3 linked regions of the Alligator mississippiensis genome follow. The protein of the gene in region 1 binds, or shares a complex with, the protein of each later gene. Links are inferred from orthologs where the notes say so. Each region holds a gene or a part of one and is shown in the gene's direction. Other genes may lie near its edges. The genes, in order: SARNP, THOC7 and THOC5.

The links.
Region 2: SARNP (region 1) and THOC7 share a complex: the UniProt entries of both Homo sapiens proteins name them as parts of the transcription/export (TREX) complex. The link is inferred for Alligator mississippiensis from reciprocal best matches to the Homo sapiens genes SARNP and THOC7.
Region 3: SARNP (region 1) and THOC5 share a complex: the UniProt entries of both Homo sapiens proteins name them as parts of the transcription/export (TREX) complex. The link is inferred for Alligator mississippiensis from reciprocal best matches to the Homo sapiens genes SARNP and THOC5.

Annotation. Positions count from the first base shown.
Region 1 is NC_081838.1:6,888,017-6,891,760, reverse strand, and holds the start of SARNP (SAP domain-containing ribonucleoprotein), read left to right. Parts: upstream 1-1,346; 5' UTR 1,347-1,403; coding exon 1,404-1,439; intron 1,440-3,273; coding exon 3,274-3,373; intron 3,374-3,744. Other genes in the region: ORMDL2 (ORM1-like protein 2), read right to left, coding at 421-572, 673-846. UniProt on the Homo sapiens protein: Binds both single-stranded and double-stranded DNA with higher affinity for the single-stranded form. Specifically binds to scaffold/matrix attachment region DNA. Also binds single-stranded RNA. Enhances RNA unwinding activity of DDX39A.
Region 2 is NC_081835.1:3,383,220-3,386,963, reverse strand, and holds the start of THOC7 (THO complex subunit 7 homolog), read left to right. Parts: upstream 1-1,336; 5' UTR 1,337-1,409; coding exon 1,410-1,428; intron 1,429-1,508; coding exon 1,509-1,626; intron 1,627-3,744. UniProt on the Homo sapiens protein: Component of the THO subcomplex of the TREX complex which is thought to couple mRNA transcription, processing and nuclear export, and which specifically associates with spliced mRNA and not with unspliced pre-mRNA.
Region 3 is NC_081833.1:26,651,673-26,655,416, reverse strand, and holds the start of THOC5 (THO complex subunit 5 homolog), read left to right. Parts: upstream 1-1,067; 5' UTR 1,068-1,161; intron 1,162-1,288; coding exon 1,289-1,384; intron 1,385-2,322; coding exon 2,323-2,466; intron 2,467-3,596; coding exon 3,597-3,710; intron 3,711-3,744. UniProt on the Homo sapiens protein: Component of the THO subcomplex of the TREX complex which is thought to couple mRNA transcription, processing and nuclear export, and which specifically associates with spliced mRNA and not with unspliced pre-mRNA.

The DNA of each region.
Region 1 (3,744 bases):
TGGAGCCCTCCACGCGAGGCAATCATCCCAGGAGCCACGCAGCTCAGGCCGGGCCCTGCGGTGTTTCTACTTAGTGCTCAAGTGCAACCTGCTCCTTGGCACCCCTGCATGCGGCCCAAGGCCCAACAGCTCGCTGCAGACCAGGCCAGGCAGTTTTCCTGGCTCTGAGCAGAAAACACCTGCTCTTTCTGGGCATCAGAGCTGGGCCCAGTCCCACTGACCATTCCCGCGATGAGTAACTGAAGCTAAAGCCACGGCCTGACTTGCCTCAGGATCGCAGCGGCCTCTGCAAGGGGAACGTGTCCCCTGCCATGAGCCCTCCCACGCTCACGCCATGAACAGCCTCGGGCGCCGCCCCGGCCTGCAGAGCCCGGCAAGGGGACAGCACGGCAGGGAGGCCCCGCACGCAGCGGCACTCACAGGACTACTGGCGAGATGCTGAGGAACTTGCGGGAAGAGGTGCACTGGGTGCCGTAATCGATCTGCTCCCAGTGGGTGAGGAGACGGGCCTTGCCCTGGTCCGGCGTCTCGAACGGGGTCCCCTTCACGGTGTGCAGCAGCCAGTACATGGCCTGCGGGGTTCCAGCGCCAGAAGGAAAGCGGATGTAAGGGGGGGGCTGGCCCCGGGGAGAGGGACCCCCCCCCCAGCTCCTTGCCCCCGCGGCGCCTCACCAGGTTGTGGATGACGTTGGTGAGGGTCCACACCACGGGGATGCTGAAGAAGGGGATGCTGAGGAGGACGATGTGGAGGACGCCCACCAGGATCCCGTAGGCCAGCCAGATGCCGCGGCTGTTCATCACGCGCGTGTTGGGGTTCCCCTCGCTGTGCGCCACCCCCACGTTCATCCTGCACGAGGCCCCTCGGCTCTCGCCCGGTCTGGGCGCGACCGATCCCCTCCAGCGAGCTGGGAGCAGGAGAAGGGGCCGCCCTAAGCGGGGCTGCGACCCGGTGCTGCTCCCCGCCCCGGTGCTGGAGGCGGTGGGGGGGACACAGGCGCCCAGGCCTAGTGCTGCCCCCGCAGTGGGCTGGGGAAAGGACCCAGGAGTCCGGGCTCAGCTCCTCCTCCTCCCGCCTTCCCTTCCCCCCACCTGGCGGCGCCGCGCCGGTTACCGGAATCCCCCAATGCCGGGCTCCGTCTCCAGGAAGTGCCTGCGCCCGCCCCTGTGCCACTATTGGTCGTCTCCGTACCCAACCCGCCGTCCTATTGGTCCATGGGGGCGCCACTCGGGCCTACTCCCGCCCTCCCCGCATCGCGCGAGCCAGGCCAATAGCGAGCCGCGGGGTTGGGCCAATGGCGAGGCGCGAGGTTGGCGGCGCCGACCCGGTAGCAAGCGGGGGCTCCATTGGGCCGGGGAGCCGGGACGGGGCGGGGCGGGCGACGGCGAGCTGAGGGGGCGACAAGATGGCGGCGGAGACCGTGGAGCTGCACAAGCTGAAGGTGCGGGCGGAGTGGGGGGATCCGGGCTGGCTCAGGGGAATCCATGTTTGAAGCTTGTTCGCGACCCTTTCGTCTGTGTCGTGTCCGGGGGCGGGCGCCAGCGCGGAGAGGACGAGGACACGTTGGAGAGAGTCCAGGGAAGAGCAGCCTTCACCTCCCTGCGGGGGGGGATGGAGCTGGGCTGGCCTCAGTGGTGGCAGATGGCGGAGGGGGGAAGTTGAGCCGAGGCCAGTTTCCCGCAGCGCTCGTGGACCTTTGTTCTCGCGGCCCCCGTGGGCTCCTCTGCGTGGGCTTCCCAAAAGCCGACTCTTGCTGGCTTGTCTGGGGACCGGCCCGGTTTGGGAAGGGCCTGATTATAGGGAGGGTAAACGCTGGTTGCTGCGAGCAAGGGACCTGTGCCAAGGTGTGCAGAGGCGTTCGGTGCATCCCTGGTCGGAGAATAAGGACGTTTCCCCGGATACGTCACGATTGCGGACGCGCCCAAAGACCAGAGGGGATGTGGTACTTTGGCAGTGGCTAGCTCTGAATGTGAAACGGTCTTGCAGAGAGCGAGAGGAAGGCCCTGGGGCCTGCTTGAGACCCCGAAAATTAGACTGGCTAAAGGGTCCTCTGGGGAGTGCTGTGCTGAGCCCTGGCGGGTGGACTCGGTGATCTGAGGGCTGTCTTTCTTTTCGCGTATCCTGTACGGTGGAATAAATAATATCTCCTAGAGACGTGGCCTTTCACCTTAATCTGTGTGGACTGTGACGTAGAGGGACGTATCTTTATGTCATTGGGTGAAGCCAAGTCCCAGAGGGATGAAGTATCTTGTCCGAGGCGCTGACAAATCACTGACACGGCGGAGGGCAAGTTTCATAAACCTGCTTTCCGGCTCCACCTCGGCGCAGGCCCCCCAGAGCCTCTGCCATGCCATGCCATGCTGTCTCCTGTGAAGTTTCACCATCTTCGTATTTTGCAATTGCTCATTAACACAGTGCCTAGGTGCTGCAAGAGGTAATTGCCAGGTCTTCAGAGCTTGGTTTTTTTTTGGCATGACCGTGGAGGTTAGTTACCCTTAGCAGGTGTGATGAAAGGTGCTTTGTTACACACAGCAAGCAAATGTAACTCCTCTGCCAGTTTTGTTTCACGTGGGGTGTGAACTCTGCTTTCAGGACAGCATAAAACCCACAGGATGCAAAGCGGGCCTGTCATGCTGAGAGACAGCGTGGAATCAGGTCCTCTACTTACAGTAAATCCTTGGTCTTCCTTGAGCTCCTGCTCAACTTTTGGGGTCTGAGGAGTTTTATTAATGGAGGGAAGTGAAGGCACAGGAAGAATACTGGAAATTGAGAGATGGAGAAATTGTATGAGATGTTCTCACTTCTGTCTAGGGCAGCACTGTGCCATGGCCACTTGGTTTTGTGGATTCCTGGTTGTTGGTGGGGGGGAAGGGGAGCGGGTTAAGTAAGTGTTATAGCCATGTAGAGGGGTTTGGGTTGTAGCCGTGTTGATCTAAGGACATAGGCAGACAAGGTTCCTTGGGTGAATTTGATATCTTTTATTAGACCACCCCAAATGGTTGGAGAATAGTTATTAAGCAAGCTTTCGGGTTCAAAAACCCTTCGTCAGGCTAAGGAAGCTTCAGCAGTTGGTGACTGCCATGTAGAGAGAGTTATCAAAGCTAGGAGGAATCCAGGCAACCAGGCTTGTAATCCCCCTGCTTTGACCAGCTGGCCGTGTTGCTATTCCTTTGTCAGTGACCATGCCCTTGACGTCCCTCTTTGGCTTTGGGTCTAGCCCGTTCATGGCTCACATGGGTGACGTGTACTAACAGGAAGGCTGTTCTCTCATGCAGCTTGCTGAACTGAAACAGGAATGTACAGCCCGTGGCCTGGAGGCAAAAGGAAACAAACAGGACCTCATAAACAGACTCCAGGCATACCTTGAGGAGCACGGTAGGTCACGCTTTCTGCTGGAGTCAACTTTCCTGGGCTTGGGCTTGCTGTAAGAATGCTGACTGGGTGTCTCAGGGCTGCAGCCTCTGAGGAGAGAGCTCTTTGGCATCGTGGTCCTTGGAGCATTCCTGCTGTTGGGTTCCATCCAGCAGGTGTTAATCAGACAGAGCTCCCATACAGTGATGGTACTGTTTGGAGAGCCAGAGCAAGACTGGGCCCATCTTAAGGTTAGGCTCTTTTTTTTTTTTTCCTTTGCTCCCAGTGCTACTGCCTTAAACAGCACTTTCTAGAGTGCTGCAGTGTGCATGTCTTATATGTAATCAGGTATCACAGTGCTACCTGAAAGAAGAACCTGAATAGAAACCTCTCAG
Region 2 (3,744 bases), on another chromosome or scaffold:
AGATAGATCTATAGATAGACCTATACTTTCTATATCTATCTATACATCTATATCTACAGATAGATATAGTATAGCTAAATATAGTATAGATATCTATAGATAGATAGATATAGTATAGCTATAGTATAGATATCCATCTATCTATAGGTAGATTTCTATAGATAGATATATAGTATAGCTAGATATAGTATAGATATCCATCTATCTATAGGTAGATTTCTATAGATAGATATACAGTATAGCTAGATATAGTATAGATATCCATCTATCTATAGGTAGATTTCTATAGATAGATATACAGTATAGCTAGATATAGTATAGATATCCATCTATCTTATAGGTAGATATCTATAGATAGATAGCTAGATATAGTATAGCTAGATATAGTATAGATATCCATCTATCTATAGGTAGATATCTATAGATAGATAGATAGATATAGTATAGCTAGATATAGTATAGATATCCATCTATCTATAGGTAGATATCTATAGATAGATAGATATAGTATCTAGATAGGTATAGCTATATTATATTTTATCAATTATATATATAATTTTCTATTACTTCCTTGACATGTTGCAATGACCTCTGATTTTTTGGATTGCATCCGTGCATTTTACAGGTATATGTGTGTGTATATGTGTATATTTGTGTGTGTGTGTACATGTGTATAGTCAGATGTGAGGACGTGAGCTGATGGTAGGTGAGACTGTCTGCACGGATCTCGGTAGGTAGGTAGGTAGAGAGATGTTCAACGCCAGGACGCCAGTCAATGGTGGTGGTTGACCTGCAAGGTGCGGAGCATGATGCGGCGCCCCCGAAGCCTGCGGCATTGTTCCCATTTGCTCGAATGAGACCTGAATGGTGCCTCGGCGCCCACCACCGCGGCGGTGAGAGGGACGCAACGCAAAGAGAAAGGCGAGGACTGTTTTAGGGGCAGGGAAAGAGGAAAGTTACCAACAGTGAGGGACGCCAGGGAGGGAGGGAGGCGTGAAGGACACCCCGGCTCCGGGTGGGTGACCGATGGCAAGTGCGGGGTGCCCCCCGCGCCCATGTGTCGCCCTGCCTCCCCTCACGTGGCCGCCCCTCTCACAGCCGGGGCGCGCGGGGCAGGCAGGCAGGCAGGCCGCCCGCCCAGCCCAGGCCAGGCCCGCGGTGCGGGTGGCGGGCGGCGGGGCCGGGTAGGCCCGCGGGGGGGTGGCGCGGCGCCCCTCACCTGCAGCGGCTGCCCCCGGCCCCGCGCGCCGGGCTCGGCCTCGGCCTCAGGCCCCGGCCCCGGCCCCCGCCGCCGCCGCCACCGCCGCCTCGGCGTCCATGTCTGCCGCGCAGCCGGCTGCATTGTGGGAAGCTGACCTCACCGCCGCCGCCGCCGCCTCCCCGCCGCCGCCATCGACATCGCTGCCGCCATGGGCGCCGTCACGGACGGTGAGGCCGGGCCGGGCCGGGGCGCGGGTGGGCCCGGGCCGGGTGGGGGGCGCGGGCGGCTGACGCGCGGTGTTTTGCAGACGAGGTGATCCGCAAGCGGCTGCTGATCGACGGCGACGGCGCGGGCGACGACCGCCGCATCAACCTGCTGGTCAAGAGCTTCCTCAAGTGGGGCCACGGCGCCAGCCACGAGGAGGGGTGCGCGCCCACCACAGCCGTGCCGGGCCGGGCCGGGCCGGGGACCCTCGGGGGGAGGGGGGCCGTGAGACCCCCCCGTGGGGTGCCCTGCGATCCCCTCTGGCAGGCCCTTGAGATCCCCATTTGGGGTGTCCGTGGGATCCCCTCTGCAGTGCTCCTGGGATCCTGTCGGGGGTGTCCATGAGATCCCCTCTAGCAGACCCTTGAGATCCCCTCTGGGATGCCCTGGGGTCCCATCTGGGGTGCCCTTGAGATCCTTGCTGGGGTGCCTTGGGATCCCCCCTGGGGTGCCCTTGAGATCTCCTCTGACATGCCCTTGAGACCCCCATTTGGGGTACCCTGACATCCCCCCTGGAGTGCCCTTGATATCTTGATGGGGTGCTCTGGGATCCCCTCTGGCATGCCCCGAGATCCCCATTTGGGGTGTCCATGGGATCCCCTCTGGGGGACCCTTGAGAGTTTGCTGGGGTGCCCTGGGATCTCTTCTCGGGTGTCCCTGACATCTTTTCTGACGTGCCCTTGAGATCCCCATTTGAGGTGCATCTCCTCTGGGATGCCCTGGGATCCCATCTGGGGTGTCCTTGAGGTTTTGCTGGGGTGCCCTTGAGATCTCCTCTGACATGCCCTTGAGATCCCCATTGGGGTGCCCAGAGATCCCCCCTCTGATGTGCCCTCGAGATCCCCATTTGAAGTGCTCTGGGATCCCATCTGGGGTGCCCTTGAGGTTTTAATGGGGTGCCCTGGGATCCCCCCTGGAGTGCCCTTGAGAGCTCCTCTGGCATGCCCTTGAGATCCCCATTTGGGGTACCCTGAGATCCCCATTGGGGTGCCCTGAGGGGCTTTCCAGGGTGCAGACTCAGTTTTCCACATCCACCCCAAGGTTGCTAACAGGAAGCCAGGAAATCCTTTCTGGGGTGCTCTCCAGCTGCCTTCTAGCTTTACCCTGAGCTGCTTCCCAGGGTGCCCATGCAGGGTAGCACGGTGAGGGGGGCAAACCCGATTCACTGCATCCACTCGGAGACTTCAAATGGCAATTCAGGGGGTCACAAAGATCCTTTTTGGGGTGCCCTGAGATGCTTCCTGGGGTGCTACAGAAGATCAGCTGCAGTGAGGGGTGCAAACCCGATTCACCGCATCCACCCAGAGATTTCAGACAGGAATCCCGGGGGGTTTCCATCCTTTGTGAGCTGCCCTGAGATCCTTTCTAGGGTGCTCTCAGCTGTTTTCTGGGGTGTCCACACAAAGCTGTAACTGTGAAGGGTACAAACCCGATTCACTGCATCCACCCAGAGACTTAGAACAGGAATCCAGGGGATTACAAAGATCCTTTCCAGGTGCCCCAAGCTGCTTTCTGGGGTGTCCATGCAAGGTTAGTGCTGGGAGGGTTGCAAACCTAATTCACCTTTTCCATCCAGAGGCTTCAAACGGGAATCAAGGGGGTTACAAATGTTCCCACCTGTTTTGGGCCTTTGCGAGTTCTTTGGAACGGAAGTTGAACATGGAGCGCAGACTAAGAGCTGGCATTTTTTGCTGGGGGTCTTGAGTCTAGCAAGGGCTGCCTTGGGTCTAAGAAAGGTTGAGAACCATAGCCCTGCAGTGTTTGCAATCCCCCGAGCAACAAGGCAATGAACTGCCGTGGGCTGCAATGGCGGCAGGTTTCAACAGGGCCAGATGCATGGTGTGTAGTCCATGTTTCTGGGCTCCGTTTCTGCGGTATGTATGTTCCAGAAGGCCACATGTGAGAGCCTGGTACAAAGAAGGTATTTTAAGTGCTGGGAGGAAAAGAATACCCTCTTGCAGGTCTTTCAGACGAGAGTACCGTGGAACTGTAATCCAGACAAGAACCTCTGAGTGCTACTAATCTGAGTGTACATAAATGCTGCCCTAATGAGATATTTTTAATCCAGGGGTAAATCTTTCCATTACTCGAATACATGCTTCGCATCCTGAAAATAAACTTAAAGATGCAACACTAGAATGAGCCTCAAGAGTGTCTTTCTAAATTACATTTTCCAAGAATGATGCACTGAATACTTGGAATATTATATTCCTTCAGCTGCTTTTATATTTTCATCGGATGCTTAGTCTTCTAAGGCACCGTAATAGTAAGGCACTGTA
Region 3 (3,744 bases), on another chromosome or scaffold:
TGGATTATTTAATTCATGGTCTTCCCTTATAACCTCTCTTTTCAGGCCTCGTGCTTTGTTTCATTGATGTTGATGGTTTCCTTTTACTTTGCTGACCAAGCTAGTTGTCATAGCTGAAAAGGTTTACGTTAGTCCCACAGAAAACAGGGTTTGGGGACTTCTGCTTAGCCCCAGTTCTGCAGCTTGGCCTAAGCCCCTGAAAACTGGCAACCAGACCCTACTACCTGTGTGGGCTTCAGGTGAAGGCCCCAGTCCAGGTACCAGCTCCCCCAGAGCCAACGCTGGACAGGCATGAGACCAGGTGTGCTCAACACCCAGTACATGGAGCAGTGCTGTGTGCTCATGAGACAACACTAGCTTTTAGTGACGGGCCATTACTGGAGGAGGCGTGATTGCTTAGGGACAGGAAGAGGTAAGGCCCAGGGAGACCGAGCTGGGCAGCAGGAATTTCAAAGGATAAGACTTGTTGCAAGAGGGGCAGGGCAATGGGCAGCCCTGGGGAATGGCTGCTGGTGTTGCCCTTCTCCATACCCCGCCAGGCACAGGCCAGCAGTGTCAAGCATGAGAAGATGGTGGCCCAGCTGGCAGCAGTGTTGCCCCAGATGCCTCAATCCGACTTCTGAGCAAAGATGCCAGCAGTTGGCAAGGTGGGGGGAGGAGGCCTTGCCCAGTAGGGTCATCTGCCAGGTTGAGAGTGGGAAGGGCCCGCGTCCTGCCCCTTCCTTCACTCCCGGACGTGCTGAGGGGAGCAAAGCCTCATAGTTGCAGTGGACGGAGGCATTAGGCCCATTTCACAGACAGGCAAGCTGAGGCCCTGGGGGCGGAGGCGAAGCCAGGGCGAACCCAGCAGCCCCACACCCTTTGGGGGGCACGGGGGTGACGGGAGGCAGCTCACCGGGCCTCCCCCAGCGCTGCGCGGGGCTGCGGGAGCTCGCGGCCGTGTGCCCGTGCCCGGCGCTAGGACCCCGCGCTGAAGGGGCCTGGCCCAGACGCGGGCGATCGCGGCGCGGGCGGTGACGCTCCCCAGGGGAGACCGCGTCGGCGCAGGGTAGTAGGGGGCGCTCCCTCCTTCAACTGCCGGCTGCCCGGGCGGCCGCTCTAGCGTGTGCCTCGTCTGCTCCTGCACAGCCACTTCCGGTTGGAGCGGTGGCCGGGACGCAGGTGAGCGCGCTGCGGCGCCGCCCCTCCCCCCTTCCCCGCCGGCCGTGGAGCCGCACTCCGCCGGGGCCCGGTGCGTGGGGGCGGGGCTCGGTGAGCGGCGGCCGCTGACGCTTCCTCCCGCCCGCAGATGTCGTCGGACTCGAGTAAGAAGCGGAAGCCCAAGGTGATCCGCACGGACGGCGCCGCGCCCGACGGCAAGCGCAGCAAGGCGGACGCCGAGCAGGTACTGCGGGGCGGGGCCTCTCCGCCCCCAGCACGTCGGATCCGGGCCAGCCTGCGGCCCCTGCGCCGGGACGAGCAGCCTGAGCTTGCTTGGGTGCGGGGTGACCGGCCCTTTGCCGCGGGGCAGGGGCTGCCGCACTGCAGCTGGTGCTGGGAGCGGCCTTGGCGGGGCAGTAGCAGGCATCTGTCGGTTTTGAAAAGCAGTGGGGTTGCGCGGAGCGGGGCACCAGCTTGCTGGACGTGGCGGGGCCCTGCTCTGGAGTGACTGCCGCTTGCACCACGTACAGAGTTCAGTTCGTATCAAACCCTCCTGGATGCGGTGCTGGGTCTTCCTGATGCACTTGCCATCTTCAGCTTGTCAGCCCTTCCCCTCCAAAGCCTTTGTTTTGTGCTGGGCAGACTGTGCCTTTTACCTGCCAAAGGAGACTGGACACACTCCTTGCTGGGGTGGTTTGAGCCCAGCAGTCTTTCCTGCCCAGAGCGGGACCCGATGATCTCACGAGGTCCCTTCCAGCCCTAAACTTCTGTGAATCTATGTCCAGGCAGTTCAGTCCTCAGCAGTCTTCTCACAGTTGTTTGACTCTGTTTGTTGCTTTCATATCTCTCTGGCAAGCATCTCTGAACCTTTTACAAATGTTTTATTTGTTGCTCTTCTCTTCCCTTCCCTCCCCTCTTCCTTAGTTGTTTGATTGCCTAACTAGGACCTGTGCAGATCAGATGCTAATTTTAATGGGATTATGGGTGAGGCATGGATTTGCCAGGCTTGGATCTCCCGTGGAGTTTGCAGCACTAGCGGTTGGGTCACTGGTGCATAAAGCATTTGGATTCTGGAGTGGATGGAGTGAGGCTAAACATAAGGCCCACAATGTGATTTCTGCAGGACTCTTTCTGAGAAGGGAAGGGAATCCAGTTGAAACCTATTTTCTTGCTGTTTTACAGGATGTTAAGTACTATAGTGAAGAGACAGAGGTGGATCTAAGAGACCCTGGCAAAGACTATGAACTCTACAAGCAAACTTGCGAGGAGCTTCAGAGGCTCATGGCAGAAATCCAGGATCTGAAGAGTAAAGGCAGCAAAGACAGTGTAAGGAGAGACCTCTGGAGTACTGTGCTGGTGAAATGCTTGCTCACAACAAAACACTAAAATGGAAAGATTGAATAATTCATTGTAGTTAGGACAGAAAGTTTTAACCATATGAATCCAGCACTGTTTACTGCTCTCTGATGCTTTGAATTCCTGTGTAAAACAAATAGGTGCATTTTGCTCTGGTTCCTCCTAGACAGGGAATATCCCAGGTGGCTGACTGCTTCTGTTTGTGGCAATGCGGCTAGGAAGGCGGTATGAAGGCTGCAGGCCCCTTGTGCTCCCCTCATGTGGTAACTACCCATGTTGTGCCTGTTCTGATTCTTGTCCTAAATATAGCAACAGCTGTTAACCTGACAACAGAAAGGAGGTGCAAAAGTCACTGAGTGATATCTGTGATTGTAGGCAGTTGCAATGGAGTCACTTGTCCCAGATTTTATTCCATAGGATATTTATACCTTATTAAGTAGTGGACACATGACCAGGTCTCCCAGGTTAGTAGGTATGATTACGCTGTCAGTCACTAAGTGGCTCAGGTCAAATTAGAGCAAATGCTACCTTGCAATGAAATTGAGAACTGGAGAAGTGTGTGTAGTTTCCTACAGACACACACAGCTCTTGTAACTTGCATCAGTTACCCCTTGGAAAGTGAGGAATAACTTTTCCACACAGTAGTGTGACTTACGATGGTGTAAGGTTGTGTGTCTACATCTGGCCTTCAGGGAATCTTAGACCAACCTGTTTTATTGAACTAGAGTGTAAAACTGTCTCTGAATTAGGGATTCAATTACTGAAAGCTCTCATTAAAGCAGCACCCAGGGCCCTCTAGTGGGACTGAGTTCTGTCTTACATGCATGGAGAATTGTGGACTAAGGAATGGACACAATGAGGAGGACCTCTATTTATTTCTAACACTTGAACATTGAGACTGGGAAGGAGAGGGGGCCTGGCAGAAGCTCAGGGGATTGTTACCAGTGTTTTTCCTGTAAGATTCATCTCTGTAGCTCCCTGCTTGCTTTAGGTTCTTCTAACTAGCACAATAACCAACTAGCTCTGCAGTGGCTAGTTACTTACAAGAGCTGCTAGCAAGGAACTTTGTCCACATCAGACTCCCCGCTCTTGCCCTTCAGGCTGCTGAGATTGAGGAGCGGCGGATCCAGAGCTGTGTGCATTTCATGACTCTGAAGAAACTCAACCGTTTGGCTCACATCCGGCTGAAGAAGGGGAGAGATCAAACCCATGAGGTATGCTGAAGGCCACAGGCTGTGAAAGAAATGC